Linked DNA regions of Styela clava. The protein of the gene in region 1 purifies or fractionates together with the protein of each later gene. This does not show direct contact. Links are inferred from orthologs where the notes say so. Each region holds a gene or a part of one and is shown on either strand. Other genes may lie near its edges.

What was found.
Region 2: the proteins of integrin beta-1-B-like (region 1) and CD63 antigen-like purify together in Homo sapiens (affinity purification with western blotting; 3 studies listed by BioGRID and IntAct, with this or other methods). This does not show direct contact. The link is inferred for Styela clava from reciprocal best matches to the Homo sapiens genes ITGB1 and CD63.

The regions. Positions count from the first base shown.
Region 1 is NC_135261.1:8,762,492-8,779,928, reverse strand, and holds the start of integrin beta-1-B-like, read right to left. Parts: upstream 7,986-17,437; 5' UTR 7,895-7,985; coding exon 7,837-7,894; intron 7,487-7,836; coding exon 7,404-7,486; intron 6,485-7,403; coding exon 6,367-6,484; intron 5,720-6,366; coding exon 5,630-5,719; intron 4,955-5,629; coding exon 4,726-4,954; intron 3,238-4,725; coding exon 3,057-3,237; intron 976-3,056; coding exon 814-975; intron 21-813; coding exon 1-20. Other genes in the region: molybdate-anion transporter-like, read right to left, coding at 13,470-13,527, 14,046-14,227, 14,664-14,862, 15,344-15,507, 16,095-16,304, 16,763-16,961.
Region 2 is NC_135262.1:14,370,750-14,388,472, forward strand, and holds CD63 antigen-like, read right to left. Parts: upstream 8,082-17,723; 5' UTR 7,999-8,081; coding exon 7,234-7,998; 3' UTR 5,136-7,233; downstream 1-5,135. Other genes in the region: P-selectin-like, read right to left, coding at 649-712; uncharacterized protein LOC120332935, read right to left, coding at 12,375-12,877, 13,341-13,462, 13,621-13,679, 16,484-16,602. UniProt on the Homo sapiens protein: Functions as a cell surface receptor for TIMP1 and plays a role in the activation of cellular signaling cascades. Plays a role in the activation of ITGB1 and integrin signaling, leading to the activation of AKT, FAK/PTK2 and MAP kinases.

The DNA.
Region 1 (17,437 bases):
TGTCCAACTGAGGGATAATCCTGAAAATAATCATATCAATTACCGCAGAGAACAAAACTCCAAGTTTCAGGAGGCATGCTACTACTGACATGTTGAGTTTGGCATGTCATTATTGATATCCGAGTCGGAAATTGAGGCAAGAGTAAAATTTTCAATTTTCTAGGATGAAATTCAAAATTTTTTTAATTTTTAATCATGATAATCGGAGTAAAAATTCATAAGAATATGTGTAAAAGGCATTATCGATAAAAAATTTAAGATGGCATTTGTATGCCAATGCTTATGTCATCAAAATTTGGTTTTATTGAGGAACGGAGTTAGAATCGGAGTCAAAAGTTTTTTCAGTTGGGAGTCGGATTTGTTTTTAATAGGTTGAGAGTTCAGAGTCAGATGGGTGCTCCCGAAGTATGCGAACCAAGGTTAACAGGTTAGGCGATAATTTTTTTCCAATTTTCCTTATTTTAGTCCTATTATCAGTTCGAAGACTAGCCAAGAGCCTCCCGTAGTATTTATACCTAAAATTATGGCCTAACCCTAACATAATACACATATTACATTCCGATGTCCGCCATCTTGGTTCGCATACTTCGGGAGCCCCGTCAGAGGTAAATTAACTCCAACGTCTTTTGACCATAACATTTAACACAGAGGTTACTACGATCTGGAGAGGTAACCAAAACAGTCACACAAATTATGCATTAATCTCTAACAATATTTCCAAGAATTCCGCTATACCACAAAACAATATCATATAAAACTGGTTTAATATAATTTTAAAGATTTTCCAAATTCCCCAAATAATCTATAACTTACCATTTCGTTAGCTTTGTAATATTGGCCTCTGCCATCGAGATAACAATGCCCATCATTTGGAGCGACAATGCCACCAAGTTTTCCATCCCCAGCATAATGGAATCCAGCATCAGTGACGTAAACGAGCAGATGGGTTGCCTCTTTCCTCCATTTGATAAAATCCTGTAATATAAATATTTGATACAAAAAACCTGATAATTGGATCAAATAAATTTGAATAGTAGTTCAGTTCTAATCAGTCCGAAACGAATCTAATATTCAAATTCGAAATTCATTATATTCGGTATGGTAAATTTTAGAATTCGGGAATGATTTAAATTATAAGAATTCAGAATATCTTTGTTTGTATATTAGGGATTTTAAGTAGGTCAGATTAAAACGCATGATATCTTAACTGCTAGAGTTCAATCAACACAGAGAAAACAACGACTTTTAATTTGTTGTTTGAGATATGATCAACACACTTCTTGAATATATTTTCAATGGTATAATACAGCGTTTCCCAACCTTTTTTGGTCGCGGACTAATTTCTCACCGGCGAAAACCTTCGCGGACTCAAGGTGCGTTTATTGCAACCGTACTCTGTATCTCACGAAGGCGAGGTTGAATCTGCTCCAAATTGCATGTGCATTCATCATATCTCGGACCAAAAGCCTATTGATTTTGGATGAATTATGTCGTATAATTAGCGAGTTATTAATTAATTAGTGATGGGACACGCGGTGTCACTATAGAGTCATGAATCGAAACCGCAGTTTCGATCGATATTCTCGTATTTAGTTTTGATACATATTCTTAGAGATCTTGCAAATTTGTTATCGTCGTTAGAAAAATCCTACTATCTGCTATAATTTCCAGAAAGTACAACTTGATTTAGTACTTATTAAAAATATATTTGAAGTATATTTGTAAATCAAAAATACAACCTTGCTTTATTATTAATTTAATGGTGATCATTTTAATCTGCGGTTGTGTGGACGAAATAAAAGCAATACTGATCAAAAAAAAATATCATGACAATCCGTGGACACAAAAAAGCGTGGTAATGTGCCCAATTATATTTTGTTTTGATTCGTATTTTTGTGAATTCAACAAATCTGAGCTGTTCGTACAATACTTACGGCGCTCCAGTACTGTACGTACCAATGTGGAGGTCTAAGGGAAAATGCCCTGGTACATATACTACAGTATCCACCGAAATTTTGCGATTTGCAATGTCTAAAGAAGTGTTTTTAATCGGTCGCGTACAATCATAAAACAAAAGTTATGGTGTTCTCCGTTTTATTTTCAGTTTTTTGTATTGCCGCTTTTTAATTTAGAAAATTTGGGTTGCCACCCTTGACGCCTACTAAAAAAATTATTTCTCGTTGTTCGAACTCGCGAGAAACACCACGCGTGTGCTCGGGTTTTTGTCGGAAATTCGCAAGTGAGTTGTGAAATCCAATCGTTTTGACCTGTCGCGTCACCTGTTACCAAATTTTTGAATAGTGAATTGCTATTTCTAATAGTTGAATATTCGAATATATGCCCAGTCATACTCAGTAACTAGTACTAAATGACTTGATTAATGTTATGTGAATAAACTTGCTTTTTATGTTTTATGTGAATTTTAACGTAAATCGTAACTTGGCTGATAGTTAACTTTTGCAAAAACGCTTGCGGCTCGCAGTGAATTTCTGGTTGCGGACTCATTCAAATGTTTCGCGGACTCATTTGAGACCGCGGACTCGGGTTGGGAAACACTGGTATAATACCATGTAAATTTCCAATGTTTAACACGACACCAAGCCAAATTAGAAAACTGTATGATATCTGCCAACAGGAAATCAACCACAGTCAATTACAAAATAACATATGACTTCATGGCGATCTATAAATCAATTATAAACCACAAGAGTAACAACTCAGATGATGTATCAATTCCCAAAAGGGCATTTTTGAATTCTTTTCAAGTTTATTCACTATAATTTCCATCAATATATCTAGTAAAATGCAAGACACTCTGGGTAAGGCAGTGGGCACAGAATTTGATTCATTTTGCACGTCTGTGAATAAAAGCATTTCAAATAATATTATTAAAGAGCAAATTATGAATAGTCCCTTGATATATAAAACAGAGACACTTGAAAATTTAATTCACACAAATTCGAGATTGAAACACATTCGTATAAATGTATCACACAATTATCAAAACTAAATTCTCCTTACACCCTGAATTCCAATACAATATTAAATCATCTCACCTCACAAACAATAGCTTGCATCATAGCATCAAAGCCTCCTTCTGGAGAATCCAGATTAGAGGAATGATTGACAGATTTGACAGATCTCACGAATTCATCAATATCCTTAGTGAGTGGTAATTCATTGCTGAACGTGTATGTAGGTTGGCAAGGTTTATTATCAGTACATGGATTAAGACGTCTGTGAAGAAAAATATTTCATCAATTTTTTATCTAATACAAGCCGGTAGGCGCCCAGGATGTCCACTGATACATGAGGCGGCCCGCAGTTCACTGAACTATTATCATCCCCGCAATATTGCACCTAAAATGACAGCGTACTGCAGTGACCAGAATATCAAAACTGCGAGCGCTGCGCATCTCTTTGGTATCCTTGTGTGAGTGGTATACTGCGGCTTATATTTGATCATGTTCACTAACTTTCGTAAAACTCCTTGAGTTTATGGATTACCAAGATGGAAATCGGCTTGTGTATTTACTTCAGCATGAAGATAACAATTTCAGAATTTTAGTTTGAGGTAATTTACAAAATAATGGGAACAAATTGTGAAATAACTATAAATTTCTCAGCGATCGCGTTTTGTTGCTGATGCCATGGAAACGAAACACCAATTCGGACTTTAGGTGAAACACACATTACTAGGGTGACAGTATACCCCACATGAAAAATTTCACTAGATCGGCCAAGCAGTTCAGCCGCTACAGCTAAACAAACAGACAGACAGAACGACTGAGAATAAAAGGTCTCCTGGAGCGGAGATCCAATAATTAGTTAGTGCTAAAGAACGATTACTATAATTCTTTTTGTGAAATGTTTTTCACTCCTAACAGAGCTCTGGACTACAATTAAGTAATAAACAGTAACAAAACTTTTTGTCTGTGGAATTTTGACTTTGGTCAGACAAAATGTTACAGGATAATATTAATGAAAGTATTTGCGGCACTAGAGAGAATTAATACAGTTCTTTAATCAACAACAGTATAATAAATTGACTGTTTATTCTTCGACTCCTTTTTTACAGAAAGTAACTCTAGACAACTCTAACCACATATTACAAAAAGGAAACCGTTACACCAGCAGTAATAATAATATGCCTTAGCACTTAGCCAAGCCCAGGTGCTATAGATTTCTTTCTGGTATGAATAAAACAATAAATTTCAGCCTTGTTTTGATTTTTGAAGAATGGGAACATTTTATTCTGTCTTTTAATTATGTATTAAAGTTGCATATCAACCAGAGCTTTGGGGTATGGCTCGTTTCCATTAATTTTGTAAACGGAGCCGGTGCGGCCATTCCATACTTCGCTATATTTAGAGACAGGAGTAGGAAAATCGGACTTTTAAGATGATAAATAAAATTATTCACGCATATATAAAAGTTTTCGTTGTCAAAATTTGATTTTCTTCAATTTGAAAATATCTGATCACACTAAAAATTTATATTACCGGTATATTAAAAATAACTCTGATCGTACTCAAACGAAATGTCATTATGCTAACTTGATTCCAACAGAGACAACTCGTATGGCGTGTTACGATTTGTAGGGCTGTATATTGTACAATATGTAATACCGGATAATCAACATGAAATTCCGACAAATATTTGAGAAAATTAGTCTATTTATGCAAAAAGATACATTCTAAGTGAAGTTTATTAAAAAAAAATAACCTTTTTGGCACCATGGAAATATAAGGCATTACTGTCTTATCGACAAACGATCCAAAACCGAGTCTGAAATCCCTTGTAATAGAAGACATTCTATCTCCCAATTCTTTTCCAAGTTCTCTGAGTGAATCTAAATCATCTTTCATGGAGTTTGATAAATCGAGAAGATAATACAAATCCACTGGATAATCTTCAGCTTGTTTGTAAGATATTTGGATTTGAGCAGGAGATCCTGTTGGAAAAATTGCATTTTTGGTGAAAAATTTCGAACAGTTAAGGGTTTTTCTTCCAGAAGGTACCAGAATATAAAACACAATTTATATACATTTGCTTTCACTAATAGTGCCTGCTAGTCCGTTAATGATATCTAAACTTCAGTTCATGATTCAGTTTGAATGTCCAAAATGTCAGGAGAATTGAAAATCATCTAATGTTTATATATTAGTGGTGCAATGCCTTGTATTACATTTTAATAAAGTTATTCTGTAACATTTCATCTTATCAAAGTCAGACTTTCGAAGACGCGCAGTTTACGGCAAAACAATGTAACAAAATATTGAATGAGACTTGAATGAGAGGTGGAAATATATGAAGGCATACATAAAAATATTTGGCCATAAAAATTCTGTAGTAAACTATTGAGATATGTTTGTATGGGATATATAATCACCATACAAATAACTTTCATAAATACATGAGTATAATAATATATTGTAGCTTTGCAGGCAACATTTGATAAATAATATAGTGGTAACTGTGAATTTTATGGTCATAATGATACAAAAATTCATTATATGCATGCATCAGCTAGACTCTGCAAGGAAAATAACAACTTGTATCGCAGAGCTTTGGAACATATAAACTCGTAAAAATGCTGAAAAAATTGAAGAATTGTCAAAATAACTACCTGGCCTCAATTTGGCATCAATCTTTTGTGGTTTGAGTTGTGTTGCCTTCCCAACATCTGAGCTTCCAACTGATGAATGTGGGTCATCAACTTTAATGTAAAATGAAAATATGTTGAGAAAAATATTTACAAAAACAAGGCAAACAAAGACATCTGCACGTCCTCCCAGAACAAAAAAGCTATCATGACGTAGCAATAATCTTTTTTATTCGAATACTCTTCTTTATACATGCTTCATCGCTTGGCACTCTGACATAACTCGCATTTAGGTGGTGTCTCACATATTAAAATTCTATAACCTTTTCAGCAAGGTTGGCTACATCAAAAAATACATCTCGATACTAAAATATTCTTTTCAACCATCGAAGAATATTGAATCTATTCTAAATTGGGCCATCCTCAACAAAGAACATATAGAGGTCATGTATATTCAATTAGTTTTTTTTGGAAAAGCATGGAATTTAATTAAGATAAAATTTGATAATTTGTGTTGTTGCACCTGTAATTTGATCGATAAGCTTTTTTTGAGAGTTTACAAAAAACAAATGAAGGTCTTTTAGGCCATGATGACCAAATCACTGGGGAGCAGAATAATGAATTTCGAACATACTCGACCAATTTTGTACATCCGCGGCCTTGAAGCTTCGAAAATGATCCACAAACTAAATCGCTTATAAAAAGAATGACAGAATAATCTAAGTGTGGTTTTACTAGATTTAATATAATAAATAACCCACCTGTATTGTTCACAGACGATGGTGGATTCAATATGAATTCATCAGGACATTTTCCAGCCTTTAAATTTTTTGGTAAATCGCATCTCGATATAACAAGATTGGGGTTGTTTGCATATTCCTGGAATATAACAAAAAATAAATAGAAAATCCAAAGAATCGTTATAAGTTTAAATCAGGGGTTCCCAAACCGCGGCCCGGGGGCCAAAACCGGCCCGCTTAACGATCAAAAAAGGCCCGCCGAGCTCAAGTGAAATAGTGTGCAAAAGATTTTGTTTCTGCTATTTTGCGTTCCAGATAGCGCCAAGTGTTACACCATTATCACAGTTGAGGCACCTGATTATCGTAACAATTACATTATAGCGGTAGCTCAATTATTCGTATTGGGATTACATAGGGCAGTAATTTAGTTACGAACCATATAAGAAAGAGATGTCAAGACACAAAGGAAAACTAGACTCCGAAAACAGACATTTTTGGATACATAACAGCCGTGGTGAACCCCAGCTAAACCGTCGCGCACTTCTGGGCGCCACACTCTTCCGGCCCGCGAACATCCCTCCGATTCTAACTTTGGCCCGCGACTAATAAAGTTTGGGAACCCCTGGTTTAAATCTATGCTTTATGTGTAGGATAGGTCACAAACTAATATATCAGACTAGCACTAGCATACCATTACCAAACTGAAAACTGGTAATTAAATGAACAGGTTGGGGTTTTCCATATGATATGATCATATTATGAGCTATGTTCTACCATATTTCATTCTCAACGTTTTATGATATTGTTTACAAACATTTTAGTTCCATCAATACAATACTGAGTCACATTAGATAATCCAGGAAGTAATTTCCATTTCAAGTACTTCTGTAGGCTACTTCCTGAATTGAACTGTTCTTTTTTATTCAATATCTACGAGACAATTTCGATGAAAGATGAAATTGGAAATTAGGTAACATTATCATCAAAGTTATTGTTTGACTCAAAATCTACATACTTATTGAATGGAAGTTTTTTAATTGTTATTATTCAAGACTTACAGGTTGTTCACACCATCCACATCCAGCAACTTGCATGCACTCACTGCATGATTTTGCATTCTTATCTACACATGGGTTGTCACCTTGAAATATAGAAGAACTGTATTATTTTTAAATGAATGTACTGAATGAATGTAATTAAAACTCAGATATGCAAAATAAAAGTCATACTATTTTAAATACTATTTGGATAAAAAATAATGTAAAGTGAGAAATGCAAATATCATTAACAAGCATCTGAGTCAAAAATAAAGTCCAGTTTCCCTAAACAAATATATTTAGATGTCTGTTTATTGATTGTGGTCATTAATACTATAAATATCTTGATTGACAGAATGATAAAATATATAGTAAGCATTCATATGACCTCCACTCACATAACAACTGTATAAACTAGGCGCTAAAACAGTAATATGCTAATTTAAACACTTACCATTTCCATACTCAAATAATAAAACAAGCAGAAGACAAAAAGAAAAGAGAAGACGCATCTTCGCTAGTAATGAATTTTTATGATTTTCTATTTATAAAATAATATAAAAAAACACAGTATGTAGAAATCTGTCAAAATTTGAATATAGAATGAAATTATATGCAAAATCTAAACTCAAAATAAAAAACAGTATGTATAAATATAAAAAATGTTAACGTTAACCATTATGTTCACCACATTACAGAATTCAAACATCAATATGATCAAAACAGACTGCTTGCTTAAATAGTTAAACTAAAATCTGAAGATGTGGGTGCTTTTTTAGACTACCAGACTACTTTGGACACCAAAGTCAAAAATGACTTTCACAAGAGTTCTTAACTTAGTAACTACAGATCTTAGAAACTGATTAATATAATCATTAACATCTAGGCTAAAACAGTTATTTTACAGTCTTTCCCCGAAAATAAGACAGTTTATTATTTCAATTTTCTTTCGAAAAATAACACTAGGGCTTACTTTGGGGGAATGTCTCCTATTTTCATTTAGAGAATTACTAAATTTTCAAATATACAAAATATGAAAAACGATATCCATTTACAAATAAATAACAAGTTTTTATTTAAAATAACTGCTAAACATAGATTATTAATCCTTTAAAACGAGTATGAAAGATTTCTTGCTGGTTAAAAATAATTTTGCTTTATTGACTATTAAAATCATTTTAAAAATTCATGCTAACTAGGTCTTATTTCCAGGGTACCGTAAGTATTATTTTCGGGGAAACACGGTAGCTCCAACCTAAAAATATCAGAAATCTGCATTCCAATGTCTGAATGTATGAGATACCGTTACGACAAACAGACAAGCTGACATTGACTTTGCTTTTCGGCTATTGAAACAAGGGTTCTTTTCAGTTATTGAACCCTTCGCTTCACCATAACTTGTACTTAGTATCAGCCGACTCTGAATCGACAAACGCAAAGGAGAAAATCAACAAAACATATACTGACTGACTGGTGAATTACAAGCAGACATTACTCACTTTTTCCAACCACAGTCGATACCAAATACAGATAAACCTCGCCCAGGGAAAGTATTTTCTCCCAAAACCATAATCCCGAAAATTTTGAGTATCTAACGCCACTTTGCGGTTCGGTACCATCTGTCAGCTATTTTATTTTCGGGGGTATCTGATTTCGATCTCAAATATGTATACAGTATATAGATTTCCTTAGGTTTTGTGCTTGTTTTGTTTTTGGTAGGTGAACGTGTGTGATATTTATGTTTTATTCACTTTTCAGATTTTGCACGACTGCTGTCGCACAATTTAAGTTATTTCTCTTTTGATATTTGTAATGTTTATGCTTATAGTGTGTTGATAAATAAATGATGATTGATTGATTTTTTATAACATTCTACGTTTTATCGCATAAATAATATTACACTTGAAAAAATGAATTTAAATAAGTTCTTTAAATAAGTTCCCAATTGATAACATTTTTATCATAAATAATATTTGAGTATTTTATGGATGTAGTATTTTTTATTCCACTCTTCAATATATATATAACATGTTTCTTAACATTACACAGCGCCTCTAGCAGGTGGTTTACATTGATGGTTATTTTAGATTTAAAAATATGCCAATAGTAAGGAGTACTTCCCAAACATCTTAATTTGTCACCGAGTCCTATACTTTTTTGTTTCTTTATGCTGGGAGTCACACAGCTACACTCAAGGCTAGATTAACCATTAATCGAAATAGGCACGTGCTAAGGGCATCAAAGGAAAGGGGTCTTCGAAATACAATCTTTAATCACTGAAAATTTCAAAGCAATTGGTCCAATAGTTGATGAGAAAAGCGGGTTTTCCATAAAAACAATAAGAAAAATACCAACAAGAACAACAACATAATAACCAAATGGTTCATATATATATTTATGTACATTTCGTGTCCAATAAATATGGTTGCTTATAGTGGAGTGGAACGCAGTAGTAAACGGACACCGGGTTGCGCAAGAGTTCGTTACCGGGATATATTTATATTGTCTTGACAAAAAAATGATGATTGATAAATAAACACTTCAATTTGGGAGGACTGGAACTTTCCATTGTCATTGCCTACGATGAGCGATAGGATTCTAACCCGAGATGTGTAACTTGCGAATTGCGATGCCATCAAAGCTGGTAAGTCTAGCGCAGTGGTTCCCGAACTTTTTGAAAAAAATTCCATGACTGACCCCTTGAATTTTTTTTAATGATATCCGGCCTTGTGCGCTAAAATAAAACATTAAAAGATCACAACAGAAAATCAATGCGCCGTATAGTGAAACGAATAAAATTATATAAAGCACAACTCCAATGACATGTGTGACATCCAGTCCAGCAAAAGGGCGGCGTCAGCTACAGCCATGCAGTCAGTAAGCTTGTGGGGGCATGAACCGAACTCTCGCTGTGATATCAAAATGGGGCAGCGTGATCGAAACAAAAGGTGAGGAATCAGTGTCTCCAGCGGTGATTGCAAAACAGCAAAAGGCGACAAATGTGTATTTGCAAATTTAGACACTTAATTTTTGTATTATCAGCCTATTAGCCATATTATGGATTTGTTTCGCGGACCCTCCGAAAGTGCTTTACGGACCCCAGTTTGGGAACCACTGGTCTAGCGCAATAAAACCACCACCACCTATCGGTTAGAAGATTTAAAATTATTTTGCAATAAAAAAATAAATAAACAAAATTACTTCTGTTAGATGATTTGATTTAATGGTGGACAACCACCGGGAAGGCATTTCCATCCCGCCCTCCTTCTTTATGGATTGCTGGTAATTATTTCATTATATTCACAGTCAACCGTTTTACGTAATTAACATATAGCATGGAACATTCGTGTACCTAAATCTGACAGTATATACCGACTGACTTGTTTTAGCAATATTGAAGTTACGGTGAAATGCAATTTAAATATTTAACGACTGACGCTTTTTAACAGTATTGAAGTTTTGATGAAATGCTACTTGAAACATTTAGGAACTGACGCTTTTTAACATTATTGAAGTTACGGTGAAATGCACTTCTGTAAAACGCAAACAAATAATTATTTACTGAAACCGTTCAACGCCCTGAAAAAAACTACTTTTTCGAAAACGTTTTTGGTGGACCAAATTTGAAATGTTGGTCTTCAAACGAGAAATAGTGATGCGCATCACCGAATCTTAATCAGTTAACCCTTTTTAAGCCTCAAGCCCTGCCCATTTTATGGGTATTTTTAAACTTATTTTTTTATGTCAACCATTAATCCCTAAAGCTTTATTCATGGGTTTTTAAAAGCGTCTGCTAGAGTTCTATTCAGCAATATATCTTTAAAACACACCCCTCGAAAAAAATTTTTGCAAAAAAATTTCAAAAATTTCTAAAAAAAAAATTGGACTTTGAGATATTCTGTGTACAGTAGAGGGTTAATAATTAATTCCTAATTAATTAATTTTTTCTTCAACGTTTTCGTCAAGTTTTTCCTAACATAACAATACCAAAACGACTATTATAGCATAAATGGTTATCACTCTGAAATTCACAATTGTATTTACAGTATTGTCAAGTTCAAGGTCAAATTACCGATACTGATGACGTCACAGCTCTTATTATTACTGCACAGACCACCCCCAATGCAAAAAAATTAAATTTTTTCGACGGAAATGCGCGTAGAACGGCGTAACCAATCTCATACGCGCATTTACGCGTTAAAATTACCATTAATTTTACGTTTTTTTTACATACAAAAAATCTCCATACCTCTGCCAACTATGGAGCATTCGAAATCATATTTATCAAAACAACACAGCGCCAGGGATGGTCAGGGATAGTTAGTATGACTGAAAATACATGCTAAAACAATAATAAGTCGTTATAAAGGAGTATTTCCTGTCTGAAGGGAGTCACATTTTTCAGACGTCTGACAGGTGATTTTGAAATCCAGGATATTTATAGGATTCGCACTTTGCGTCACGGCTGGAAGGTTTTATCGCTTCTCTCATTACGTCGATAAACAGCTAAGAGCGATATACTCTATAAGTACATAAATTTTACAATTTTTTTAAAAGTACACCCATATGGGCGTTCCGGCTGTAGAAGGGTTAACAGAGTCTGCAGCTAAGCTTTGCTTTTTTCACGATTAAAAATGCCTGGTTGACAAATTCATATTTTTTCATTTCTCAACAAAACTGGATACTTCTTCAAGGCGAAAGTCAAACTCAAGTAATGAATTTTGCTGAAAAACAGTCGTGTAAAATTTCGTTTGAACTAAACCCTAACTCATAAGTTCCAGCCAGTCGAGTGTCAGCGTCGTTAATATATTCAACATCCACACTGAATGTTCTTTGAAACGAATTTGCGTCCTCCGACCATCTAAGCCAGGGGTCGGCAACCTACGGCCCGCGGAGTAATATAATCCGGCCCGCGACGTTTCACTGAATTATGTTAACAAAACAGCCGTTTTTGACGATTATATTCTCTGTGTAACAGAATTTATTGTGCGAGACACGTGTAGAATAAATTATATTATAATCTCACAAGTATAAAATTGACAAATACTCGCTTAATGAGCCTATAATATAATTAGACAAATGGCAACTAAACGAATAAAAGTTGATGCTAAATGCAATAAATCTATATTCTATTCTAGAGATGTATCACTGCTTGATTTTTATAATAAGAAGTATCATCCGTTCGGTTTTAAACTTTCACAAATATGTGCGGCCCGCCAATGACTTGCAACCCTTAATTTTGGCCCGCGAGCGACAAAAAGTTGCCGACCCCTGTTTAAGCCCTTGAAAGCGTTTCGAAAAGTATTCACTAAAGTCCCAACGCATTTGTGTGAGTATACACGGGGATTTCGTTTATTTCGACATAAACGCGAGTTATTAAAAATTGGTACTCCTGAAGTATGCGCACCAAGATGTCGCATAACCTGAACCCTAACCTGGTACACAACCGGAGTTCAGGTTGTGCGCCATCTTGGTGCGCATACTTTAGTTTAGGTCCTCCTTAGAATTTATCATAAATAGGATTTTTCTTTGAAACAATTTCATTTGCGTCTTCAGAACTTGAAAGCGTTTTGAATAGTTTTCGTGAAGGTATATTCACGTTTGTGTGAATAAACATGGCGATTTAGCTTCTTTCGATATAAACGTGATTTAGTAGAAATAAATGCAATTTTCACCAAACGGACCGCGTGTCACGCTAAGTCTTATGGCATGCCACCTTGGGCATGCGTGCACCCCTGCTCTCGAGTGGATTCGTATCCCATGACAGACGGGGCGACGCGCGGGCAGTTTGCTTTGAACTCCTAATGCTTGCTCTATTCGTTAATCTGTCTATCCGATTTACTTTCTTACAAAAAAGAAAAGGTTGCAATTCAGCCAATACTCCATGTTGTAATTTGAATAAAAGTAATAAGAATTTATTGCATCAGAATGGACATAGTGTATAACATACGGTATATATAAAATAATCCACATTATAGACTTTTTTCTTCAGTAACAATCGACATAGATTCAATTTTCTGCATTCCCTTGCCTCAACAAGCATTGCCTTCGAATCGTCTGTAGCGCAGGTACGTATTTATATTATATTCATGTTGCTTCCATTACTAAATCTACAGAATCCTTCATATTCTTCGATTTAGACGTCCTAGCAATGCAAATGAAGTTATAAAATGAGCAATGTAAATGCAAGTATAAAGCATGCGGTGGCCAAAAGAAATATTTACATTGAATTAAATTCCAGCTCAGACACTTCAGGTTGATGGAATTTTAGACTCCTGGTCTAAACTTAAAGAAAACAATATTTTAACAACTAGGACCTTTGGTTGTCTATCGTATAGTAAAATTAATTCCTTTTTTAATTCGTCTGGAATCAAATTCTGAATTCTGACTAACAAGGATTTTAAATTCTACTGGGCCTTCAGACTCCCCAACTAGAGAGATCATGAAATAGCTCCCCGATTTCGACACCAATACCGTTAAAAAGCATGCCTTCGTTTCCACAGTCATTGAGTCATCAGGATCCATGCAACGACAGTTACAATATAACTTCCTCCCATAAGTTCCTGCATTCACTAGCCAGAAATACAATGTCCGAAAAGCGAATATACAACCTATAATATATATTGAAATTCAACCATAACCAATAATTATGCAATAACTTACCTTAACAATCGCAAAGAAAATACTGCTGCTATTGCAACCATGAAAAAACAAGCCAAGAATAATTTTCTTGTTCCACTGGCATTGGTGCTATGGTGTAACATAATGAGACCAAAACAAGCAAACAAATTCAAAGGAACCCGGAACCAAGCAGTCACAGCGAAATTTTGTAATTCAGGTTTCACCTAGGCACATAGAAATAAAATAACAATGCCTGATGCTAAAAAATTGATATGATTAAGAGATCATTGCAGAAAGAAGATTAACTGGCTCCGACACTGATCACATCCATGTTTCTGCAACATTACATAACGCCAAATTATTGTACTTAAAAACCTGACCGGTATTCTGATAATAAGCAGTGATTATTCACATGGATGAGTATTTGGAGCCAGTTATGAATGGGTAAACAGTAAATAAAAACATTGTCACGAATAGACCTGTGTGATTAACCAAGCAGTACTGTGTTCTTAGCCAGAAGACGGGTTGATAAAAGAAAATTCTAATGTACCTAAAAGTTAAATGAATATTCAAATATGACTCATGAACTAAGTGATACTCTCTAGTCTCTAAGAGCAAAATACTTGGCTAAGAGATTCGATATTATTAAGCTATACTTACCAATCTTTTCAATTCTGACATTGATGGAAAATATACACCAACTGACAATTCAAATAATAAAAAGCATATGTAGGATATTATTGGGAATTCATTTGTTGGACTAGTTGATAGTACACATCCAAGAGTGGCAATACAAGCAACTGACATTGCACCAGTGAGAGTGACAGCTGAAGACAATTTCACTGCAGTCACCAGAATTCTGTCAAAACAAACATAAAATAAATGAGAAGTAATTATTGCAATCCATGAATAGTGTGTTATTAACTCTAATTTTAATTATGTTCAAAATTGGTGTCTCGATTTAGCAGTTAGGTTGGGCGTTAGTAATATCCCTGCCTTGACACCACTGACTATCCAACTGATGGTTAGGAGGAAGTACAGATTAAATGAAGACTACTAGCAGACAAGGTTACGACAGCATGGTCTATGGTCACCATGCATTCGGAATGTGCAACACCAAAGAGATTTTCAAGTTCCTTCACTTATCTGATTTAGAAATGGTCAATAAAATTTGTCGGCTGACATGCAGAAGAACAATCTTGAAATTAAATATTGTTCAACACCTGGAAACACCACCAACTAACCAAACCAAATAACAAGTAAAGAACTGAAATAATAAATGAAAACTTATTTCAGCAACACTCAAATCTACACTAACATCAAATTAATGTGAGACATACTTGTGAGCTACTCCTCCACAAAGAGTCGCACACATAAATGTTGCAAATACGATTCCAAGTGGTGGATGGTGATGATCGAGTACTGGTGTCCATAAGAATACAAACAAACAGAGAACGCTTTCGAATAAAGACTGAACACAACCAAGCACCAACAGATCTGGATTCTAGAGAAATAGAAAATAAGGACAATTCACAATAATCAAAGGGTTTTGCTGTAAGAGGACAGAATGTATTAAATTTAAAATTTTTATTTAGTTATTTGAGTGGTGCAAATAAAATACTTTTCATATGCAGAAATAGGTAACATCATCCTGCAGCATGTTTTGATATTAATTAGAAATAGTCATGACTAAATGATTTAATTGAGCTTCAAATCAAATTAGATCAAATCAGTGGTGTGTTGGAATCATTTGTTTCCAGAAAGTTATACCAGAATTCACAGCTATCAATACTTTGATAAATGCGGGTGTACACTCCACAGGTACACAATTTGACAATTTACGGAATGGAGTCTTTTAAAACCAGTTATTTTTATGGCTCAGTTGAATGGCACATCGTAAAAAGTGCCAAGAATACACTTGCCATCGCATCTCTAATTAACCTGCATGGGCTTGAATCCTGTGGGAGATAATAATGTGTAAGAGGATAGCTGGACTTCTCACAGTTGTAGAGTGGTTCAAACCATAAAATGTACTTGGTAATTGCAAATAATCATCATGGGCAACTCATGTCATGTTAATCGAGCACTTACTCGCACAATATTCTGTAATCCCTCACAACAAGCTTTTACGAATTTCGTATTCTTTCCTGATGGTTTAACAGGTAATGAAGGCTCTATGAGACCTTCAGTTGATTGTGATGACCGATCCGGCGTCTTCCATTTTGAAAACGTAATAAACGCACTTATACCAAGAAATGGTACAGCAAGTAAAGATGGAGCAACGGGGCCGAAACCATACCACTGAAACACACAAGAAATATTCTCAATCCTATACAATAAATGAAAACAATTACCACAATCATGAAATGAATTAATATACAAGCCAGTAATTTGCTTTATCCAATCATTTCAGAAAAATTTAGACATCTTTAATACATATTTATCAGTGACAGAGTGTAATTTGTATCATTATTTTTCCGAATTAAATTATCTTTTAATTTACTGATAGTAGCTATTCAAACTTCTAGTTTACTACGAATTACCCTATTTTGAGCATATTTCTTAAATATTTATTCTTATCATTATTTCGATCTCGCTCTTTGAACTCTGTCAGATGACTCTTTTCAATATTTGACCATACTCAATAACAAATAATTCAAGCAGTATTGCAAATCACATTCTCATACAATAGAAACTTTTACAAAAGTGTATTTATAACTCAATTCATCAACAAAACAGAAAAAATTACCAAAATGTACCTCGGTCATAAAATATGCAAAAACCCCTGCGATGGCAGCCATAAGAGAACTAGCAAAGGCTGATTTCATAGAAGTGATTTCAATCCATTCCTTTGGGAAGTCGTGAACATTGATATGAGATTTGGCATACCATCCTTCATGTGCAGAAAATAACAGTGTTGTAGACGCACCAGATAATATACGACTTATTACCAGAGTGCTGAAAAAATAAACACACTTATTACGAATTACGGTATCTATTTAACATAATGCTACCTAATTTTATCGTAATAATTCTCTTAAATGAGTTTACCATAGGTATTTTTTTAATGATAACTGAAAAGTCAATAACAGCAATAATAACAAAAGTCAGTGACAATTTTAAAAATTCACTAATCGCTTTATTCTCTGAGCTACAGTGTTTCCCTGAATATAAGACTGGGTCTTATTTCAATTTTCTTTTAAAAAACAACACTAAGGCTTATTTTGGGGAGATGTCTTTTATTTTCATTTATCAAAACAAAATTACGGAGTAAAGAATTACAAGATTTTCGAATATAAACAAATATGAAAACCGATTTCCATTTACTTATAAGAAACACATTTTTATTTCAAAATAACTGCTAAACATAGAATATTAATCATTTAAAACGTGTAGGAGAGATTTCTTGCCATCAACTACGTCTTATTTTAAGA
Region 2 (17,723 bases), on another chromosome or scaffold:
AACTTACATTCATCAGTATTAGGTTCTCTATCGTTACAACAAGAGAGCGATGCTCAAATATATGGACGAAGTCCGAAACTATAAGTAAATGGGGGTATGCAATCTGTCACAGTAGATTAGACTACCGATGGCAGCCGTCACGTTTTCATAAACACGTGAAAGACAGCATTCACGATTTCGTAAAAACGTGTTCCCGTAATTGAAAATTTTACAGCGCATTTTAGAGGAAATATCAGATCTAACAAAAAATTTAAAAGCAAATAAAAATAATAGCCTTCTAGCGAAAAATACAATCTTTAATAACTGAAACTTTCAAAGCAAGTGGTCCATTAGGTAATGAAAAAATGAATTTTTTCATAACAACAACAAGAAAAATACCAACAAGAATAACAACAAATTAGAAAACGATCAATAGGTCAAACGATCAACTACGTGTCTAATAAAATAAACCAAATGAATGTATCATTTTGATCCTACGTTAATTTTACATTGATTGATCAGTTTTAGTTCGAATATTTATGTTAAATCCACAAAGTTACATCTCTATATTGTGTGGATAATATTTGCACTGCGTGAAATGCATTCAATGCGACGTTCCCAAAATAAAATATTTTTCTAATATATTTATGTAATATTATTAACCCTTACCTTCTGAAAGTTTGACAAGAACAGATATTGCCGCAACCATCGATAATGCCCAGAACTTCAGCATGGTGGTATTGCGATGCTCGCAATCAGCAGAAAAAATGATCCAACAATTGTACATCAAGATATAACCAACAACTGTTTATATATCTTCTAATTATTTTTTTTTTTATAGATAACCCTAGGGCAGGTAATGAATAAATTGAACTCGGTTAATTTTACGGTTAGTAAGAGGAAAACCCATCTAAAAAAAATATTGTATTTAGGCCATTTCTGATGAGGATCTTAAAATTGAGTGTTCATTGACACGCTCCACGTCTGATCTATTATGTGGTGTTAATTCTTTATTGCTTGTTATTTTGAAATTAACGAAATATTTGTAAAAGATTGATATAAGACTTTTTTGCGTCACGTGATCATGCTCGTCGAGAGCCTTATTCAAATAGTATGCAAGATTAATGTTTAATGTAAGATGATAAACTGAAGTACCGTGCATTTTGTTTGGCAAGGTCAAGCGTGCCGTAAGAGTAAAACTCAACAATTGACGCTCAAATAAATATTTTTGCTTTGAAGTAAACTTTTGTTAAATATAGAAAACACCGTTGCATAATTGTGAATAAAATTAATTTTTAACAGCCTCAAATACTGCATATATTTTTAATAAAATTGCAGTTTCTCATTAGTTTTGTGCCTTTGGCCTTTAGGCAATATCACATATTAATTGTCCAATTCTTTTTATGAAACTTATAGTTAGTAACGACTCTTGCATTGATACGGAGAATTTGAGTAATGTAAACAGATTTGAAATGCGTTTAATCTTTTCCGGAAATCAATTTTAAGCAATAAAACTGTACTTTGTTAGTGCGAAATCTCGCACGATAAGCAAGAATTTTGATAAGCGGAAAATTTTTTTCTCAAAGCTTATGTAGTCGTTGTAAACTGATTTACCTATTTAAACTGAAGCTCATTTAAGAGCAGAAAATCTCAAAAACGTGTGAGAAACAATAGCATATAATTTGTATTTCAAATTACTCTCGTTATTTAAGAGAGTCAGACTAATCCTTCATTCATTTGTTTTAAGTAATTTCAAGTAATTTCTTATAAAGAATATCTTGAAACCTAAAATTTGATAAGTCATATAAACATGATATTTGAATTTTTATTTGCTTGAAAATGAATAACTTTCCACTCCTATTTCTGATGCCTTGTGGTATAATCCAACTGAAATTTCTGATATAAATAAAAGGAATGACGTTCTAGCTGAAACAATAATCTTGAACCATAGAACATTTCAAAGCATTTGGTCCCGTAGTTAAAGAGGAAATAAGTTTTTCACAACAACAAGAAGTTGGCGTGTTTATTAGCGACAAATCTATGGTTTCAGATATCCAAAAATTGACTCAAATTATAAGTGGCGTTATGAAACAAATGTCGTACTTTGCGCTGCTGTTACTTTTGTTGTTCTCTTGGTTCCTTGAATTATTATTTAACTCACGCATAACAAGCAGATTAAGTGATGATAAACAATACTTTGAAATGATTACTAAATACCGATTAGCACGATTAATTACTTTAATGTGTTATTGAACAACTTTTTATGAATGTATTTTATCAAAATAAATTCAGTACAGCTGTTACAATAAATAACTCCTATGCTGCGTGTTTTTTGCATCTGTATGAGATTTCCGACATTTTACCGAGTAAATTTTGCGTTGCTAGTCGCTCTAATTGGTAACTGGTACGATTTGACAAAAAAGGGGATAATGATCATGTTTATCTGTTGATATTATCACAGGTATGCAAGCACAGAACCATTGCGTGGGTGTCTCCAATAATTTTTAATTCATTACGTATTCCGTCTATAAAAATAAGATAATTTGTATCAAAGCCTGATGAGAACAATGGAATATTTTTTCAAAAAAATTCAGCATATCAAACTGAGTTGATTATATATCCTTTTATAAAATTATATTTTGTAAAAAAGGCTAACATTTTGAAAATGCCCAATTTTCACGAAATTTGAAACACAGTGTGTTATATCAAAATATCAAGAGGGATATTTACGGTTAATCCTCTCATATACGATCTAATCTACGACAAATTGTTACGTTTACAAGACCCCCATTTACTTATAGTTTCGGACTTCGTCCATATATTTGAGCATCGCTCTCTTGTTGTAATGTTATGTAAGTTCAAAAGTTCTCGTTTTCAAATCTCATGCCAACCACCTCACTCACGACGTATTAGAATGTCTAGTGTAGTCGGACTTTTATAAAATAAATCAATTTTATTTTCGCAAGTATTAGGAGTTGTCCTGAACCATTGCTTCGTGAAGAACAATAATTTTTTCAATTTTATTTACCACCATTGAAATTGCTTACGGTCAGATTTAGTTGATCATACCTTATTTCCCCTTTTTATCCCTACAATATTTTTAATCATACCTTGTCGATGAAAGCGCATTTTAGGAAGTTACCAATCAAAGGATCAAAATAATATAGATTATTATAATAACCTCGTCATTGTGGTTTACAAATTCTTCGGAACGTATATGTGAGTATTAAAGTACTAAATTTATCTATGCAGTGGCAATTAAAAAGAAATACCACCTCGGTATTGTATTTCAAGTTTTTAACAATATATGAAACACATGGCACATGATTGCCAGCACCAGGTATAAGATAAGTCAAGCACAACCGGTGTATAGCAAAACGATATAATTTGCCGACGTTTCGAATTTCTATTCAGAAAACTTCATCAGGGCATGATATGAAGAGTACACTATCGTATATATATAGAGAGCACAAAAACAAAATTTAAAAATGAACACGGCGTGAAAAAATTGAAACAGGGGACAATATGATAATAGAGTGAATTGGCGCAAGTTCGAACAAATATGAGGAAACAATGCAGTTTCTTTATCGTTCATTGAATTTTTCTCTTTGTTAATGTGATATGATTTCCAGACATAGTCTTTTCCTGTAGTGATTTCATTTTCTAATGTCCTGCTGTTTTCTCTATCAATGCTGTGATCTGTAGAAAGGGCATGTCTCGAGAGAGCCGATTTTTCGAATTTGTTTTGTTTTACAGCTCGCTGATGTTTCTTTCTCCGAGTTTCGAGACTTCGTTTCGTTTCTCCAATGTAAATAGAGAAGCAATCACTGCATGGGGTTACATATACCACGCCGTTTTTCTTGTTAGGGCATGGGCGCTCTTGGACATTAGAAAGCAATTGGCCTATTGTGTTTTGGGGTTTGAAACTAACTTTGCTCCTTACGTCTTCTAAAATTCTTCGACTTTTTTCACTAAGTACTTTAACATATGGGATGGTAGTGGACGCGATCGGGTGGTTAGAATTAAAATTCAGATAGCTATTTGTATGTGTCTTTTTCCTAAATATATCGGTCGTTATCTTTCCGGTGTCTGAAGTTGATTATATGACCCACGGACAAAAACGTTGCACACCCCTACTATAGAGAAATGCGTTCAAGTGAGAAAATTGGATTCAGAAAATTCTATTCATGGAATATCTTAAATAATTAGTCAAATGTCAGACGGAAAATCAAGTTACAGAAAAGTATTCAGTATTCTCGAAGCCTATGAATTATTATTGGTAAATAAAACTCAACTAAACAATTTCAATTTTGTTATGAAGTCAGTTCTCAATATATCTTAATCAATTTTGTTTCATTTTAAACAGAGTTTTTCAGTTTTTTTACCTCATTTAATACACCCGTAGGAGCAAACAAACTCTAAAATCATGGTATCGATAGAGCCATTTAGATTTTAAAAATTTAGGTCTTCATGAACACCCTGTACATCACACCCACTGAAAATTATCGACCAACAAAAATGATCGTGAAATTGTTGGAAATTATTACCGTACCAGTACCATTGAAGCATTTTTACTTGAGTTCTTGTTTTTCAAACAAGAAAATATTTGCCCACAACTACTTATTGATATTAGACAAGCAGGCGACTAATATGTATATTCAGGTTATTACCCGCGCCAGTGATATCAGCCGATTCTGATTGAACAATTGAAGTCAACAATGTGAGATTTAAAAAGGAAGGAAATTCCTTAAAGCAAAACTTATAGATATAATATTTTGCATTCAGGCAAAAACTAATTATTAATATACGAATCGGGAAAAAAAAACTCTTTTGCGAATAACGAAAATGAAACATTTTTACGAGATGAGTCATATGTAATGTCTGTCAGATAAACTTTTACATTTTCGATTCTACATTTCGTCAATGTCATAGAATGCCAGATTTGAAGATATCATATTTTTTGTATCTTTTAAAACCATGCAAAAATTGCAAAAATCATGTAAAACCGACAAAAACCTCGTCGGCAAAACTGTCGCGAGAGAATCGATTCAAGTGTGGCAACAATACTTCACACACTCAGCTTGGAGCAGTAACTTATACTTCAATATGCAAACTTTTTACTCTCGCCAAGCATGCCACTTAAATAAATTCAATAGTTTACACATATAGCCACTTTATTACAAATTAAATGTCCAACATAATGAATTAACAAATGCAGTTATAAACATCAGTTTAGCAGAATATCATTATGTTATTGTAAATTGATATATTTTGCAAATACAGTATTCACAGCCTCTCGTGAGCCATTATCATCAGCCGGTTCAAACGTCAAACTATCCATGTCAGATTTTGATCTACCGTTTATTTAAGCCAATGGTCAGAAAATAAAAATCTATTGGTATGGCAGTCTAAAATATGCACATTATTAGCTTTTATTTGGATGGGTTTTCTATTGCGATCACAAATGAATTCAATTCAATTACATTTTCAATCAATATACAATTTCTGCTGGACAAACAGATTAATGGAAAAGTCAGCTATTTTTCAAATGGGATACCCCCCCCCCCCCCCCCCCCATTTTTGAATATTGATCTACAAATAACTAAGAAACGATATAGTGCATATAATATCTGCAGTTATGTTCTGTTTCAAATAAATGTATAACCATAATATGTTATTATCTATGTCTGAATAATACAATGTAAACATAGTAACAAAAAATAAGTTTGCAAATTGATACTCTGCTAAACATATACGTGTGATTGTGAGAGCAGACTAGACCAAATGCATCTATTTCTTGAAAGTCGATATTACTTTTGCCTAGACTTGAGATGAATGTATATGGAACACCGCTCAAATAATATTACGAAAACTTCCGTTCTACATAAGAATGAATTATTACTCAATTGGTGCAATAAAACTTGCAATCTCGCAATTCTTTACACTTATTTAATTTGTCAGTAATTAAACAGGAAAATATCTATAATTTTGAGTTCACATAAAGGGCAGTAGGCGGAATTACTTAGAACTTGCGAAATTAAAGGATTCGGTGTAATTTCCGTTTTCCGATAAAATTTTTTAAATATAATATCGAAAACCTAAAGGAGTAAATACAACTACAGTTACAAAAAAAAATATCTTTCATTCACGTATCATTCAAATACAGTAACGTTTAGCTTCTCTTAAACGCACAAAATATAACCAGAATTTGATTTTGTATTTCTGCATAACAAGTGAAATAGCATCCATCCAACTTCACATTTTATTGAGGTGTGTATTTTCTTATACCCGATAAATCAGATTAAATTTTCGTAATTATTTGCAATTTCAAAATTATTTTAGTTCGATCTTGAGTGGCCCGGGCATCGTTTCAACCAGATTTTAATTTAAATTACAACATCCGCCAATTGTTGAAATGCTCTATCATGCATGATACAGTATATTGTCGCAGATAATTCGATATGCTAGATAAAGAAAAATTGAGCAATATGGATATAATGAAAGAATACAATTGTGTTACATGCTTTAAGCCCGTTTAATTGAATAATATATGATAATCATCTATTCAAAAGACTAGTGTTTATCATTCACACAGGAAAGTTATATGATCGCATGCCTTGGATGCAACATTATTTATCATGAATTAGCGATAAAAGTATCCTGGTTCCAGTGATATATATCAACTATTATTTGTCAGATTTTTGTACGTGGTACAGACTTCAAAATTTGTAAAGTAAGTATTTTATGTATATTTTGTGAGATTATTTTTGAAGCCATTCTGAAATTCATTCACCTAAAATCAGGTAGTCAGTAACGCACTTTATCATACATATATAATATTATTCACGTGAGAAATTGTGTATGGATACCGGCTGCCTAGAATATTTCAAGAAAATATTGTAATGGAAAAATACGTAGTAGAAAATATCACAATCTTTGAAGTAGATTTCACCAAACCACACGTAAAAAGTAGTATCAAGATTGGCATATGTGTCTCTGAAGCTTGTAGCTTAATATCATGTTAAATACATGGCGGCCTTTTTGCCAGGTTTTACTATAAACACACACTTGTCTGAAAAATGAACTTCTAAACACCCAGTAGGTTGTAATTAAGAAGAAATATAAACTTATAGTTTGTGTCATGATAAAACTTAACTGTCCTGAAATTTAGCTGTGAAGCTGTGGTTCGAAATCAATGGGTTAATTTAATTACACAACATAAAAGTAAAACTTGTTCGATTGAATATTCTAGTCCTAAGCAACGTGTTCGTACTCTTTCTTTATCGTACGCATGAGACAGCATGCGAATATAATGCCGACGATCTGTATAAATGCAATACCGATACCAACGCCACCTATCACGCCAGCATTTCGCTTTATGAAGGCTTCAATCTTCTCAACGCATCCATTTTTGGCTCCAGTGTAAATAAGGTGCCCTGATTTCAATCCACAATCTTTCTTCGGAGTAATACAGCAGCTGTCTGGCACAATTTTTGTTCCATTGTTACTAGAAATTCCTGCTTGGGTCATTCGGGCTTTTGCTTCTGCTTGAAAACCGGTACTCGTTTCCCAATCCACAGACGAAACTGCGCCACAACATTTGAATTTTTCCTGCACGACTCCAAAAACTGGCTTCATCTTAGGCGTGTATTTGCTTATGGCGTCTTGCACTGATTTCTTTATCCAAATTTCAATTCGGTTTCTCAAAGCAAATGCCGCGATTCCAGCTGACATTTCGAGGATGAAGATAACCAGAAGTGAGACCATAAATGTTGTCACCATGCAGTAGTTTTCCTTGTACGCCCCACAGCATCCGAAGAATGCAATTATCATGATGAACACGCCAACACATATCAGCAAAATTGGTGCGGATGAAATAGTAGAGCCAGTAATTTGCACCAAATCTCGATATTTAATTTCGACGGCAGCCCCGACACCGATCAGCACTAACGCAATGATGAAAAACACCAAATTGAATGCAAAAAGCAGATACTTGATGAGTTTCATTCCACAATCCATCTTGTATTCTACGTCTTTTTCCTTTCTACCAAAAAACTTGATAAATACAAGTACCCTGCTGTAACCAAAAAATAAAATAGAAGGTTGAATAGGTTAGATACACTGCAGGCAGAAATAAGAAGCGGAAATCACGCTCATTACAAGGCTCTCGCTCAATAGAAACGACCATATTGTGCTGTTGAATAGACCGGCATTTGCCTACTTCGTGACTTGAATGGGTTCCTCTTCGAGCATATAATTTCCCTGTTAATCATGTTAATGATGATATCTATTGTCATGCTTAGTCTTACTATGAATTGTGACCATTTAGACGAGCACCAGACATGTTCGAAGCGTTAATTCAATAACAAAGGACACAAAATATATAGTAAAGTGGAAAATAGCTTTCTTCCAAGCTGTCAAAAACGTAGAAACAATATGATTATCCATAACGAATCCATGGCTAACTGTAGGAAGGCTTATCATTCCTCACACTTCAGATTAATATAAAATTTAGCATCCGCCACAGAACTTACGTGCTAGACCACAATCCAGACTGCAATGTGCATTTATAATGATATGTGCTTGTTTATGGACCCCATGTCTTGAAATAACAACATATGTGCAGGCAATGTACGTTACATGCGTGTACCGTCGTGATGTATGACCGGCAACAACACATCTCATTTTATTCCCTCCAATTTTCTCATATCACTTAACCACCTGAATATAAGCCAGACGCTAGACTTGTTTATCACAATCATTTTGCTTTCGAGGATATTATGAATGCACAATGGAGTCGTAAGCAATTTACATACAGCGTATTCAATGGTATTGGCACAATAACTAAACATGCTAGTCATAATGCAAGGGAAAACACGTAGGCTCAAGGCACATGAAAAATTGCTAATGCGAGAATATTTGTGTGTATTCTCATTTGAATACAATGAAGAAGACTATTAAGATATTTATAGAAGTGCTATGCTCCGAGAAGGGAATAATAATGATGCAGATTTTGCCAGCCGCGTTGTCTTTGGTTTAATAGGCTTCAGGCATTGATTAGACATAACCGCTATCTTCAAATCCAAACTAGATCTCGCTCGCCATTTTCAGAATATACACATACAACTTAATTGCTCTTCACTCGATTTGTATTGTTGATCGAAAACTTGAGTATCGACGACTAAAGTACCACGACACTAAAATGCAGCTTAGGCTTGAGTTTTTAAATTTTCGAGTTTTTATAATTGCATGCAAATGGGAATATTGGCAGCTTTTACTCGGAGTTGTATCGAATCATTTCCTCAGTATAAAACCCTAACATGGTACAACCATACATTTGTTAATTAATATAAAAAAAATTATTTTGACAAAGTGAAACTGTCAGTTTAATCAAAATACACGGTAACTTGCTCATTTATGGTTTTACAAGTTAACGTGAGATAGGCTAGGCGCATCCGGATATAATCTAAAACACGCGATTTTGCTTAGAAAATAATGATATAAATATCATCTTCTTCAAGTATATAAAACTTTAGTATTAATGAATTCCCAACTATTTCCAACTTTCTAGTCGATCACTCCACACTGCATCTACCTAAATGTGAGAAGAATAAAACTTCTACAAATGACTTGTTCTCTGCCATACCCGAATGTTATCACCAATATTATAAAAACATAACATCGTCGATCAATAATACAAGGGTCCCATGATCATGAATAAAAGGTAATGATATTTGCAACATTGTATCATTCATGAACAAGAGGAAACAAGCTCTTGAATATGCGATTTTTGCTCTAGATCGTGGTTGATCGGATCGTGCTGTTAATAGAGAAACTCCGGTTTAGTCAAGTGCCCTTGACTTCAGAAATCTTTGCTTATTATATAATGTTGTAATAACAACAAAATGTGTCAGAACAAAGCCATTCATGTATATATATATATATATATCGTTAACGCATATAAAATTATTTAATACATTTATTCATCAAACACTATAGAAACTATTGGGATAACAGAATAGATCAAAATCAGTTATCTCAAAATAAGAAAGAATCGTTGTGATGAAAAAGATAACTGATCTAAGTACTTTATGAACAGAAATTTAACATCGATTTATCAGATAATTATTAGAATTAGTACCATGTATCGCTGTAAAATGATTTCTTAACCAATTCAAAATCTTCGGATACATTTGATGCCACTTGCAACTTTTGAGAATGTGCAACCTCAATAAACAGGGCATGGTTATGGCCAATCGGCAATAATTGATTCTATCTGAATACAAATATACTCTAACTGCAAAATAAAGTTATGGTAATTGAAGATTTTCAACTTGAATATACTGTGTAAAAGTATAGGTGTTGATATGATTGTTTTTGTCTCTTGACACTGGGATCAATTGAAAACATACTGGAAAATGGCGGAAACCAGCAAAATGCACAGACCGTTCATAACGCCACGATAAAGTCAAAAAAGAAGCTGCATCTATTCATTCATCGCTTCATCACTTCACTCCGTGGATTCGATGGGATCGGCTACTTCATAGTCTTGGGGCGATGCTCGATTACGGTTCTTTATCGTTTACACATTATAGGGCGCGAATAACTTGCTATATATGAGCTCGCAGACAAACGCGCACGGTATAGCTATACTAAAGCTGAAAACTTTTTTAAGGCGAGAAAAGGTCAAATTAAATTGATTTATACAAAATTCGGTGCTCCAGAAGTATGCGCACCAAGATGTCGCACAACCTGAATCCTAACCGGTACACACATACTATGTTCAGGTTGTGCGCCATCTTGGTGCGCATATTTCTGGAGGTCCCAAAATTCTTCATTTTTTGGCAAACTCACAACAACTACCCAACTTAAGATGCCGAGAATGAAATAATGAACGATAAATTATTTTCAAAGCACGCAATGTCAAGCAGTGCCTAAGTTTGAACATAATTCCCGTCACCCTTGATAACATGCTCTTGCTACAGCATCCTTGCGTTCTACGCATACGAATCCACCTGCGCAAAGGCATAGAGCAAGGAACGGTAGTTAGTTTCACGTAACCCCAACTGTTAGTTATGCTATATGAAAATATCATTTAAACTTATTTTTAATAATTATATATACCAAGATATTTCATGCATGGCATTCCAGTTAGCATTTTACCACCGAACATATATGGAAAGGTCGACTTATATTTTTGTTAGGGAGCATATAAATCAATTTAATATAATTTATAGTCAGTTTATTTTGTTTTCGCTTTACCTGTCTCATCGTTGAAGACAATTCGGGGAATATTAGCACTGTGGTAACTTTATGCAATACAGGTGTCGTTATTTTGTCTTTAGTTTTTTATAATCAAGCACCAAGTTTCGATTACAACATTTGTAAGAGTCAAGCACTTCAAAAGTGAGATATCATAGCAGTTGCAGACTAAGTAGCAAGCCAAATACGTTTAGAGAAGAATGTCAGCCTCGGAGAAATCAAAACAGTACGGTAAATAGCGTCACCCAGCAGTGTTACATGATATATATATATATATCACAATAATATATAACAGTTTATAAAATCATTGAGGTAGATTATAAAAAGTAAATGACCCAGAATTGATCCCTGGGGAACTACACAAGATATTGGGAGGTATAGTCGCGTTGAGGATTATAGAATCCCAGGATGAAACTCTCTTCAATCAGTGGTTTACTTTACTCCAGATGCAACACCATAGTTAACAAAATTATTTAGTGAATTACTATGGTCCTTTCAAAGACTGCTCGTATGGAGCCTTGTGCAGAGAGAATCTAGAAGCCACCAATAAATAGCCAACTTACGTGAAAATTTCATGCCAGAAGACACAAATTTGAAATTTCATTCTGTTTATCCTTGATCTTCTAATCTGACTTTTGGACAATCTACAACTTTGATAATTGATATATATCAAAATACAGCCACAGCTTTCAACGTTTTATTGTTAAAATAGCAAATACATATATAATACAATTTATAACAATCGGTCATTTCCATCCCTAAAATATAGCCGTATTGTTGGAATGAGAATCTGAATTAATGTCACCAATGGTAATGTAGCCTACCCCAGGACCTTATTATTGAATATAATATATAACATGTTTATTTCATATGGTATTTTGTAAAACAAATTTTGAGTTCACCCCAAGAAGAGCAATCACACAGCTACATGACAGGACTCCCCCACCCCGCAAAAAAAATGAAAAGAATTCATTAGCATTTCGATGGAAACAATAAAAAAGGTTCATGATTTTCCTTCATATGTCAAATATACACATGATCTAGCAATATGATAAAACTATTTGAATGGACACCAGTTAGAAAACTACAATCTAAACGAGCTACATATATACTTTTCATTGATTTTCATTACTTTACTGCTTACTGATGTTTCCCACTATATCTTCAATTGTTTTGTTTGCAAAATTATCATATAAATCGTATTTAGAAAGATCCACAACAGTTTCGTATTTTTCAAATGTTGGTTTTCTGTTATCTGATTCTGGAGGAGAATTCTCAGAAAGAATTTTTTGTGGATCTAATGTACAATTTACAGCTTCAGTGACAGTCTCTTCACTAGTTTCGTCGTCTTTTGACTCTATTTCGGGAACAGTCGGCACTTCACATGCAACGATCGTCGCTCTAGATTTTCTAGACGGTGTCGCGGATCGTATTACGTTTGTTGGCGATTTATTGATTGCTGTTGAGGTACTAGGTCTTTTCATGATTATCGTTGTATGAAGGCATGGACATTTTAATAAAATATTATGACACGCAGTTCGCAAGCCGCTCATATATCTCAACAAAATAAATGGGAGACTTGTGGCATGCATACACGTCATTGAAGAGGTAACCAAAACTGCGTCAGGTCGAAGGACTGTAAAATATAAAGCAGTCATAAACCTATCTCGTGAACATTACCATCTATAATATCACTAATAAGTAGACTTTCAAGGGTGCTTTCACGACCAATGTCTAAGTCTTCAATAACAATAATTTGGATTCACGATTGTATTTCAATATGTGGACTGTTTTAGCATTAATATATCGTGCCTACGTTGATTTCTGATCAAGGCAACAATTTTTGGCGACTTATATGCTTTTGAACACCCTTACAAAAGTAGCATCAAACTCAAACTGGTTTTAATGAGCGATCAGTTTCAATGGCAAATGATGTAACCGTACAAAAATTAGAAGAATGAAATGGCACTTTTGCTATGCCCGTTTATATTTGTGAAACTAAATGTAACCTTTCCAATCAATTTCACATTCACAAAATTTTTAAATTTAAAAGTTGAGAAGTGAGTGAGCAACACATCGAAAACCTTCGTTGTACTCACCAATATCTGCAAAAACGACATCAAAAAACACGACGCATATGAGAGGAGTGATGGAGAGAAACAAGGAAAACGTTAGCAGAATGAGAAGCTTGATGGTGTCATGAAGAGCTGGTCTTCTGTTCCTAAAATGCACGAGATATAAGGAAAAAGACAGTGAAGTTTAAAAAGAAATATATATAAGTTTGCATAGAATGTCGTTAGGCAATAAATTCATCGTTTTGACATAATTTAAAGCAGGATTTTCTGACATGATATGCAAACGGATTCAAGATGTCCTTACTTCTTCAGTTTGGATGGCGTAGGAGAATATGACCTTTGATTTGATGTGTCAGGTACCGCCTAGAGATAATGAAATATTTAAATATTTTGTCTTTAAACAATCATACCCCTAACGAGCAATAGTTATATAGTAGATTGAATATGCTTGTCTAGGAAGTTTGATTTTATTTGATTATGAAATTCATATTTAATTATTATATAGTCATTATTTACTGAAAGATGATAATACCCTGAGGCTACTTCAAATATATATATATATTTTTTTTATGTAGAACCGTTTGCTTCAAGATATGGGGAACATTGAGAACGCTGAAGTCAAAATCTGAGCCGTAGTCTAAATATGTTTTATGCATATGAATCCAGTATGGGATGTTAGAACAATTAGGATCATACATGCCCAACTTTTGTTTGTGTACACGTTTATTCGTATTTGTGGTACAATAGATAGTACCTCTCGTCTCCCGTACATATACGGACAAGAGCAATATTTACATAGCACATAAAAATGCGAACAGTATGACCTAAAAATTAATTAAAACGGTGCATTTCAATGTTTATGGAAAATCAACGGCTAATCTTACTAGACCTGCGTTTCCCAAGATATTAGGGTTTTCAAATGAAAAATTGTAACAATATTTTCGTAACCAGTCTACATTAAAATAAGGATAAACCAATTCGATGGAGGGGATGGTCGATTCGGCGATGGAGTCCAAGGTATGAGAAGTGATCAATGTACATTAATAACCGTTGGAATTTTATATCTTTTATTACAGGGGTGTCAAACTTGCGGCCCCAGAGAACTTCCGATGCGGCCCTCGAACGCACTCTATAGGATCGGCCTGGTCATAAAGGGGTTCCCTGTGTCATAATTTGGGATTATGGCTAAATTAAATGTATTTTGGGGGAACAATAGTATTTCATAGTGGTCTGCGTGTGAACAAAACCAATTTCAAAACTTAAAATGTTTGAGTTTAAATTATCCATGCTTGATCCGGCTGTTCTTAATTACGGTGACGTCATCATATTTTTTTTATGTATAATTTTTATTTTGCTACAAGGTCAATTTTATTTGTATGAATATTTCAAAGCTTAAAAATAAACAAAGAATCTGTTGCTAGTTGAAAACGAAGTATTTTAAACGCGCGAGCAACGTTCTCCGGCTCATAATAAACAAACAAAGATACCAGACAGCACGCGATCAATTTTTTTTTTTTTTTGTTTTTTCTGGTATGTACGGATCAGAAATTTTCCAAATCAGAAAATCAAATGCTCTTCGATAAAACGAATATCACTTCACTTCAAAATCCCACTCTTGTTTTATTTTGAAGGTGAGGTAAAACTCGTCCAAAAGAAAACTCTTTCTCTCGCATATCAATCACGTGTTGACCACAGCGTTAAAAGTAAGAAACTTTTTCTCGAAATTTTTTGAAATTTCTCTCTTCTTACCGGCATAAGGTCGGACGCATTTGCGCTACGTAATTTGGAAAATAAGCTTTTTAAAGATATATTGGGAAATGTACTAGCGTGTTTGATTAAATAAGCTTTTTAAAGATATATTGGGAAATGTACTAGCGTGTTTGATTAACTATTTATGTCATATTATAAAAGAGGTATAAAAAGTCGATTGGGACCAACGCATATAAAGGGTTTTAACAATAATTGTAATATTTTGTAAGTTTTTTTTTATCCAAATGTAATACATTTTTTAAACCTTTCGAAGTAAAATTGATTATTCACACAAAAAACAACAAGTTACTGAAAGTAATTTTGGAAAATTAATTTTTTTTTGTTTTCAATTTGACCCAAATATAGATAGGCCTACACCTCAAGCTAGCAAAAGAATACTTGAAAATAAAAACAGGTATTAAAATGAAACGCAAAGTCCATCCCAAAGGTGGCATTTAAAAAAATGGAAGTTGCAATATTCCTGCATTTCTCAAAATTCTAAAGCACATGATTTTTTGTAATAAATACAGTAAATTGCAATAATAGTGAAATGATAAAATTAATATGTAAATGGAATTTGGTAATTTCAGAAAATAACAAAACTGCATTCGACTGTTTAACTGCATCACAATATATGTCACAAATTACACCTATCTAAAAATATATATGCTATATTACCAAAATATATCAAAAACTGTTTGCGGCCCTTTGCGCAATTCCCAAAATGCAATGCGGCCCTCGATAACCCACGAGTTTGACACCCCTGCTTTATTATATATCATTCAAAATTAAACTCGAACATAATTAAATATGTAACGAAATCACGGTTGACAATTGCAAGCACATACTGCAAAGTAAAATTGAGACAATGTATACCAGCGGTACAGAACTAGTATACAATGTGACCAACCACATTGTCCGGCGCTAATTTGGAGCGGCAAAGCAAAAGCACAGACGATTTTACGAAATCATATACTAAAAATAGGCCCACTGGGTTTTGTACATACATTTTACTATTCACTAGTGGATTACTCTCGAGTCACGGTGGCAAAATGACTTACAGTAAATCGAATGTATATTATTTTTTGCACGTTTATTTTTGTTTTTCACCGGTGACATCAAGGGGAATAGGAAAAGAAGGTTTTATGGACAGTGTTGGAAAGAGGGTAAAGTTCATTTGTCTTACATTGTCAAAGAGAAGATGCCAGTCTTCCTATAAACCATTGGGAACTCAAACAAAATTTGAGACAAAAGGAAACCGTAGCAGATACAAAAACTATAACCAGATCCGCCCGATTTCATTGAGAATTTCATTAATTACTAACTAGCTCGATAGTAAAAGTTGGATTAATTCGTGTAAGTTTTATTTATGATTAAATTTTTGCGTGCTTCAAATACTCAAATAAAAGTAAACATACCAAGTCAATGATACTGATTGGAGATTCCAGGCTCAATTTCAGTTCTCTCAGTGACGACATACGAACAATGGGGAAACTGGAGGTTTTTCTTGAATTATCATGGTACGATCGACTTTTCTCTTACAAAAGATGAAATAATTATATTATGGATATCGAAAGCTAAGAAACGAATGCAATTAGGGTTTATTACCTTATAGTAGGGGTGGCCAACCTGCTTTCGACCGCGATCGACTAAAATCTTCAAAATAGCTCGTGATCGACTGATCGGTAATAAGGAAATACATAAAAACGAATGAGTACTGAATATGCAGATAACTGCACACATGCATACAAAAAATTCCACCACTGCCAATAAATAAACTCGGCGCTGTGGGCGCATTTTTACTAAAATCGCCATTGAAATTTTTATTTTTAATTTGTTAATCTGATTATTTAATTGTAGCTAGAGTAATTTTTCATCATTTATTTAGAATTTATTCGAATCATACAGTTCACATGTAAGGTCTACCTAATTTTAGTTGTAAGTGTTCAAAATTCCTCAAAAGACCTTGCAAAGTATCCATTTATTATTTAGGCAGCGAAAAATAAATATTCTCCAACCATAAATGTTACAAGACTGCTCAAACTTCAGTATATCTAATTTAAAATTTCCACCAAGTCCGATCATTCGCTCAATTGGAATAAGAAAAAAAAATGAGTATTCTGATGCCATTGCTACCGTTGCAAATACACTTCACCACACTTCTTTTGGAGTGTGACAATAACCGCCGCAAACTGCAGAAGTTATTGTATGATCGTTTCTCAGTCAAGACACTTGATATTCGGCAAGTTCAATTACAAACCTTAGCAGCGGCAGCACCTCGTTTGTTGCGTAATAATATGTTCAGGCTATATGTGTATACTGTATTTTTCTCATGCTCAGTACTGTATTTGTTCTGTTTTGAAACACACAACATGCGCTACATTAAATTGGTTCAAGACAATTTATTGAGGTAAATTTGAAATTCACTCAGCATCAGACGCGATCGACCACTCGAGACGTGGCGATCGACTATAGTCGATCGCGATCGACGTGTTGGCCACCCATGCCTTGTAGTGTTTCTAGACCAGAGGTGACAAACCTGCGGCCCGCGGGCCGCATGCGGCCCGCCAAGGACTTTCGTGCGGCCCACGAAGCATTCAGGCAATTCAGTGTATGTTTGGCGTAAAGTAACAAACCTCCAAGAACTGTACAGAGAGA